Linked DNA regions of Elephas maximus indicus. The protein of the gene in region 1 interacts with the protein of each later gene in a biochemical or structural test. Links are inferred from orthologs where the notes say so. Each region holds a gene or a part of one and is shown on either strand. Other genes may lie near its edges.

Region 1 (3,746 bases):
GTTGAGTCAGAATTGACTCCACAAGAACGGGTGTGGTTTTTTCTTCTTTTTTAATAATACATACAATATATAATCATTTTGCATTCCGATGTATGGTTTCAAAAAGAAATCAACATGAGCTCTATAATGAGAGGGGAAAACAAGCCATTCTTTGGGGATATCCACTTAAATTGTTTAATTTTTCTGAAACGTCACGTGTTGAACACTACCCAGTTTTTTTTAAATAATTGAGTGATTCCTTCAACACTTGCACTTTTCAAATAGTTGTTTTTGAAATGTATGATCTGTGGTGTAACAGGACCTAATACCACGTGCCAAGCACCCATGCTAAGCATTTTACCTTATTACTGAACGAAGTAAAATTTGAGACTCCGAGGTTAAGTAACACGACGAAGGCTGTATAGCCAGGGTGTGAAACATAACACTTGAACCCAGGCCTGCCTCTTAATCACGAGACAAAAGGTCTTCTATTAATTCGGCAAAACCTGGTCAGGCGCTCTCCTCAACCTGCAGCTTTAAGCAGTTCCCTCCCAGAGTTTAGGGCCTGGTTTAACAAAAAGAGCCAGTGTATCCAACACTCCACCCTAAACAGGAACTGGAAAGAAGAAAGGTAAAACGTGGCTATTGCGCATGCTCACTCTGCCCTTCCAAGCTTTCCACTCCCTGCCCCCGGACTCTACTGCAGCAACTTTCCCAGACTTTAGAATAGCTCCCGCCCACTGTGAAGTCAAACGGGCGGAAGCCGTTCTTTTCTGCGACGTGGATATCCTCTCTCCCGCCGATCTTTCCAAATTGGAAGCAGACACCATGCGCCTCTGTTTCTCTGGGATCCAACTTGGAGTTAGCCAGTTGTCAAGATGGCCGCTGACAGCCGGTCCCGAGCACAGGCCTTTCATAGGCCAAAGTCTTATCCTAGCCCCGCCCATTTCGTCCCCGCCAGCCTTGTCCGCCTGCCTCTTTGCTACGCATGCGCAGTGGGAGCGGGACGGAGGTGGGACGGTCCCGGGTCTTCCGTGTGCCACCGCCGCCGCCTCAGCCTCGCTGCTCTTGCCACTGCGGGCCTACCTTGCCGGCGTTAGCCGCGCGAGGGGAAGACGGGGTACGACGGAACGTGCGTGCGCGGGGGTCCCCATAGTCCCAGCAGTTCCCCTCGCGCAGGGTGGGCGGCGGGGGTCAGCAGCAGGCAGGGGAGGCCCTAGGCGGCGCCATGTCGGCGGGCGGCCCGTGCCCGGCGGGGGCCGGTGGGGGCTCAGGGGGCGCCTCCTGCGCTGTGGGGGTCTCCCCCGGCGGGGTATCCATGTTCCGGTGGCTGGAGGTGCTGGAGAAGGAGTTCGATAAGGCCTTCGTGGATGTGGATCTACTCCTGGGCGAGATCGATCCGGACCAGGCGGACATTACTTATGAGGGGCGACAGAAGATGACCAGCCTGAGCTCCTGCTTTGCGCAGCTTTGCCATAAAGCCCAGACTGTGTCCCAAATCAACCACAAGCTAGAGGTGAGCAGAGGGCGCTGGCGGGGCCACATTCAGTCCCAGGCTGCCTGGTGGCGTTAGATCCTATTTAGATACACCAGTGAAACAACTCCAGAAAACTGCCTACAGGGGCACCTGGGCTATGAATGTGATGGGAGAGTGCGCGTGTGTGTGTGAAGAAAGGAGTTAGGTAAGGTAACCCAGTGCCGTCGAGTCGATTCCGACTCTTAGCCGACCCTATAGGACAGAGTAGAAGTGCCCCATAGAGTTTCCAAGGAGCGCCTGGCGGATTCGAACTGCTGACCCTTTGGTTAGCAGCCGTAGCACTTAACCACTACACCACCAGGGTAGGTAAGGTACGGAGGAAGAGACGTGTGGGTCTCCCGGGGTCGTGTCATCACCTTCTTAGCACCTCAATGGGGAAGAAACAGGAACTAATTACACCAGCCAAGACTTAAGCTCAAAGATTCTCTGTCATAAGAATGAATACCTTAGCCCACCTTTTTACATTTAAGACGTCGATAAAACAAAGTTTGCATATCACACCAGACAGATACAGGCCTGGTTATTTACTTATTTTTTTAAACTATTCCAGACCGGCATCTGCGGTTACAGAGACATACTATTCTCTGCATGCATGAACTATTTAGGGGAATTTGATCAAAGCTCTTAGAATTTGTGGGATAAATATGATAATATCATTGCCTTTCTCGGTTTACATCCACAGTTGGTCCTTAGGTTACAGGCAGACATCTCCAGAGCCCCGTGCAGTTATTCAAATGGCTTCTAACATTGAACTTTGTGTATTTGTACTTTACTGTGTTTCCCAGAGTCTGAATTTATTTTTGAGTGTGTAAAGAATGATTGTTTTAGTCTGTAATCTTGGGGTGGGTGTGGGCGAGTGGTGGTGGTTTCCCCTCCCAAAAAACAAAAAACCCTACCACATTTTGCAGAAAATGAAATTAGGGCATTATTAAAATATTTAGAAATCATGATAGATTAATTTTATTAAATAATTACATAAAGAGCATTTTCTAATTTAAAAAAAATTAGGCAATTTAAATGAGAATGAGTCTTTTAAAAGTAGATTAAAAATGGGATAATCAGTGATGTGCAAAACTCTTTGAACATTAGTTTTCCTAAGAAATCATTGTTGCTACTAGTTATGATAATTGAAACTACCCATCAGATCCAAATTGATATGAATATCAGAGATGCATCCTCTCTTCGCTTAGTGGTCAGCATTTTTTCGCTTTTCTGTCAGTCATAAAAAAAGTGGTATAATCTGATTAACATTGGTTTGCACATCTGAGATTTTCTGCCTCTTCTCCACTGAATGGACTGTTAATTTCTTCTACCCTTTTTAAAAGGGTAAGAATGAAAGTGTTGATATGAAGGTAATAATTGGCTTTTCTAGGTAGAATAAAAATGTCTCTTGATTTCTTGATTGATAGTAATTTCTAGAAGATAGTTATTTTTTCAAGTAGTGAAATTGCATCTGATGGTACTTAGAAATAGTACTTGAGCTTTGAATAACAAAGTAGGAGAGGAGCTTTTGTCACATGAGAACTTTTTTTATCATTTACAACTGCAGGTTTGTAAATGACTTGCGGAAACATTAAACAGTGATATTATGATGTCCGGTTTAAAATCTAATTTTGCAGAAAGAATCATTATGTGAGTAGGAGGTAGTGCTCAATTTTTTTTTCATCTTTAAGCATTTTAGATGAGTATTCAAAGCTGTAATAAATTATGCATGCTCTTTTTCTCAGAAGTTATAATTATGTATTCTGACTTCATGCCCTGACTTAGAGGTGGCGTTATTTTTCAAAATAAGAAATGCTTGCGAATCACAATGTGAGCATATTTTTCAACATGTTTGAAACTCTTCATTTAAAGGTCTCAGAAAATGTAGAGGGAGAGACGTAAACTTGATTTGGTTTTTTTGTTTTCTTGCTTTTTCCATTATAATGACTTGTCTGTTTGTAGTATTAATCTTCCATAATTTAGTAATTTTTACACCTTGTATGGAAACCCTGGTGGCGTAGTGGCTAAGAGCTACCTACGGCTGCTAACCAAAAGGGCGGCAGTTTGAATCCACCAGGTGCTCCCTGGAAACCGAATGGGGCAGTTGTACTCTGTCCTATAGGGTCGCTGTGAGTCGAAATCAACAGCAACGGGTTATGGAATCAGTTGTGTACTGCTGAGGAGAGAGGTTCAACGCCGGCGTTGCCTTTCATAGTAGGTCTGCTGTATCCGTCTGCGTGATTTCAGG
Region 2 (3,746 bases), on another chromosome or scaffold:
GAGTCACAGCTCACTCGACACCCTCGAGAGGGGTCTGGGATTGTTCATGGGGGGTCCAGCTGGCCAGCCCTATTGCCATGGCTCCTGGACAGCAATCTTCCCTTGTTGTGCTAGGCGAGACCTCTGCAGAGTGTCCCCAGCAGGGCCTCACCTAGCCTGATCCTCCGCAGCGCAGAGGCTCCCTCATCAGCCCGATTCTTTCCTTGACAGTTTTCACCACAAGCTGAAGTTTTCTCCATTTTAAGTTGTCTCTGGTTTACCATCTCTTTCTCTCTTTGTACATGCTGAGCTCAGGGAAGCAGAGTCTTGTTCATTTGTCTACAGCCTCATCCCTCTCATGAAGAGCAGGCCTGGCCCCGTGAGTCTCCAGCTCTGTTGGAACCTGCTGTGTCAGCAACAGGCCACACAGTGGGACATGCAACAGCCATCATTTCTCTCCTCATCCAGCACAACCACCCACTGTCACCACTTATGGGACCATCTGGGCCTCAGCATGGCATGTCTGCCTGCTGGCAATGGTCCCTAAAGTCCTCAGTGCATCACCCCCTCAAGGGCAGCAGTGTCCGTATCAGCCAGCAAGGCTAGGTGACAGCTGCCCCTCAGAGGCCTGCAAGGCCCATGGAGGAGCTGGGAGGCTGGCCAGGAGGGCTCCACTCAGGGGAGGGGTGTTTACACTTTCTGACTCCATTTTTCCTGGAGCTGGGTGTCTGGCCTCATGCCAGGCAGGGCAGGTTTTCACGGGGAGGGGGGTCTGTGCAGCTCTTGGGGAGCTGGGGACACCAGGCAGATGGGGGTGGGAATGGCTGGTGACTTCCTGAGCACAGGTCTGAGTCCTGCTGGGGACTTGTCTGCACCAGGGCCAGCCACAATCCCCCCAAAAGACCCATCACCACCTCTCAAAAACGGGCACAAGATGGATGCCAGCTCTGCTCCAGCGCCCTGTGAGACTCTCTTGCAGAGAAACAGTGGAATGGGCGGTGGGTGGCCAGGACCCAAATTCTGGGAGTGTCAGAGGCCTGCTCCCAAAGTAGCCCCAGGTCCTGGGGGAGGCAAGCGAAGGCCTGGTTTCTGCCGTGTGCCCCTCCCAGTGTGCAGGGACCCTTCAGGCTGGACAGGAGTGGTGGAGGGCCCTGGTTCAGCCCCTCCAAGCCTCGTCTGCACCTCTGCTGTGCCCCGCCCTTGCAGTGGGTACCCCGAGCCCCAGACGGGGGTCTAGCGTGAGGCACAACCTTGGGGAAGGGGGTTCCGCCTATGGGGATGCAGCTGCGGTGGGCAGCTTGTGACCAGGACCTGCTGGGTGCCCCCCTCGCACTCCGCCCCCTCGGGCTCAGTGTTCCCGCACCGCCCCCACTCGCCCCGCCCCCCACTCGCCCAGCCCCGCGCCACCGCCTCCGCGCAGCTCCAGCTCCCCAGGAGCGCAGCGCTGACAAGGGCTCTGGGGACAGGGGCGCTGCTGCCCAGGTAAGCCCTCCTCCCCACTTACTGCTCCTGGCCTCCCCCGCCTGCACCCCGCGCGCCTCTTCTCCGCTGGCATGGACACCAATCGTCCTCCCCCATCACCCCCTCTAGGCATCCGCGGGCTCACCTGCTGCCCCGTGTTCCTCCCCCTCGGTCCCCTCCCCAACCTCAGCCGCTCCAGACCCTCTCATTTCTCTTCACGGTGCACCCCTTCCCCCTTGACCCCGGTGTACGCCGGCCTCTGGGACCCCGGGCTCCCTTTGCTCCGAGTCGGGGAAGAAACCTCAGCGGGACAGCCCTCTCTGCCCGCTGAAGTCCACCCCCACCCCCTCGGCCCGGCCTCCCCTCCGTGGACGCCACAGTGAGGCTTGCCCCTGGGGCTGGGAGAGGGGCGCTGCGCGGCTGGGGAGGGCTGTGTGTGGAGGGAGCTGCAAGAACCAGAGCAGGGAGCTAGCAGGGGGCCTTCAGAGCAGAGAGCAGGGGAGCTGGCCAAGGGTGGCAGGGCCAGCGTGGGTGATCAGGCTCAAAGGCAGGATGGGTCCCCAGAGCCAGGCCAGCTCAGGGCAGGTGCAGGCACACACAGACTAGGGATCCTGGTGAGTCCCCTCTCCTAGATCAGGAGCCCTCCATGCACTCTCTAAGAACCGCCTCTCCAAGGTTTGCAAGTTAGTCACTGGGAGCCCTCCACCAGGTCAGGATACCTGCTCCTCCCCAGTACCTAGCACATAGCCCTCCCACATTGATACCTGTGCAGTGTCCGTGGCCCCTACCTGCTCACCTGCCTGCCCTGCTGTGCCACCTGACAGCGGCCTGGGGCCCTTGGGATTGGTGAGGCCCAGAAAGCTGGCTGCACAAAGTTGAGCCTGTTAGGGGTAGGGAGAGGCTGCTGAGCCTCTAGAGAAGAGCTCAGGCCCCTGGGGCAGCTACTGGGGGACCTCCCAGGCGGAAGTGGTCAATTGCACCAATGACAGTGGTTTAACATTAACTCCAGGCTTCGTGAGACTGTGTAGTGAAGTGGGCATGTGCCCTGGATTGAGACCCTGAAGGGGGCTATTCCCTCTCTACCCCCTGAGCCATGCCAGCCTACTCTACTCAGCTGCCTCTTCTGGGAATTTACATTGCCTGGCCACATGCTGCCTGAGGGACAGGGGAGTGTGTGGGCAGGGGCTGCATGGGGCTGCCATTTGTTGCATGCCAACCAGGCTTCCCTACTTTGCCGCTTCCTGGGACCACCCCACCTAGGCCTGACAACCAGAGGGAGAGGAGGGAGCTGGAAGCGGGGTCAGGAATCTATGGCTGGGGAGGTCAGGCATGACCAGAGACCAACTGCTGTCCCCATGGCTGCCCCTTCCCTGCAGACCTGACTCCAGAAACTCGGGCCTCCCTGAGCCCTGCGTCTACAGCTAGGCTGTGGGGTTCACAGGAGCCATTACTGAGCACTCACTGTGTGCAGGGCAGCATTCTGAACACCAGAGCTTAACTTATCTGCTCAGCAGCTTTGCAGCTTGGAGGGGCTATCAGTTACAAGAACCAGAACTCAGAGAGAAAGGACTTACCCAGGTCACATGGACAGTGTGCGGGAGGGGGGGGCCTTTTCATTCCCTGAGCCACGTGGTGGGCCGGCAAGAGACAGGCTGGGCCAGTCCCTTCTGGTGGGGGACCCCAATTGTCAAGCATGGTGAGTTTCACGAATCCCCCTCCATTGACTAACTCCCACCCCCACACCTGGCCCAGGGGAAAGGGCCCAGGGGCAATTTTCCTGAGTGTATAATTTCTGTGACTAAGAGGATTGCCACTCTGAATAATGGTTCTTGTGGAATTGTGTTCCGAGAGGCAGGCACAGCACTGATGGCCTGTTTTTGTTCTTCACTGCTGGATCTAGCCTGGGAATTGGGTTGTTTATGGGGATGGCAGAGCCAGGGACCTGGCAGTCTGCTCTGCCGGCCCTGAGGCCGGCTCTGCTGGCTGTGAGTCCTGGGGTGCTGGGAGCGGCCTCGGAGGAGCCCTGAGCAGCCCAGAACTTCACATGTGAAGAAAAGGCATTGATTTGATTTAAAATCAAACATGTGTTCATCGCTGCACATCCCAGGAACCCAGGGCCTGCCTCAGAGGTGGTCTGAGCCCATTTGGCCCCTCCTCCTCCCATGGGAAGCAGATCCAGGTCCCCCAGCCAACCCGGACCCCCTTAGGTCCCACCTGGGATGGGCTGAAAGCCCTTTCTCGGTATTTTTTTGGGAGAGAGGGCTTACTTAGTCCACAGGACCCCAAAGCTGGGTGTGAGCCCTCCT

The links. The genes of interacting proteins can lie anywhere in the genome.
Region 2: the proteins of GOPC (region 1) and SSTR5 form a complex in vitro, tested with the Homo sapiens proteins (2 studies listed by BioGRID and IntAct, with this or other methods). The link is inferred for Elephas maximus indicus from reciprocal best matches to the Homo sapiens genes GOPC and SSTR5.

The regions. Positions count from the first base shown.
Region 1 is NC_064819.1:184,796,054-184,799,799, reverse strand, and holds the start of GOPC (Golgi-associated PDZ and coiled-coil motif-containing protein), read left to right. Parts: upstream 1-972; 5' UTR 973-1,207; coding exon 1,208-1,495; intron 1,496-3,746.
Region 2 is NC_064830.1:58,234,260-58,238,005, forward strand, and holds the start of SSTR5 (somatostatin receptor type 5), read left to right. Parts: upstream 1-1,390; 5' UTR 1,391-1,461; intron 1,462-3,746.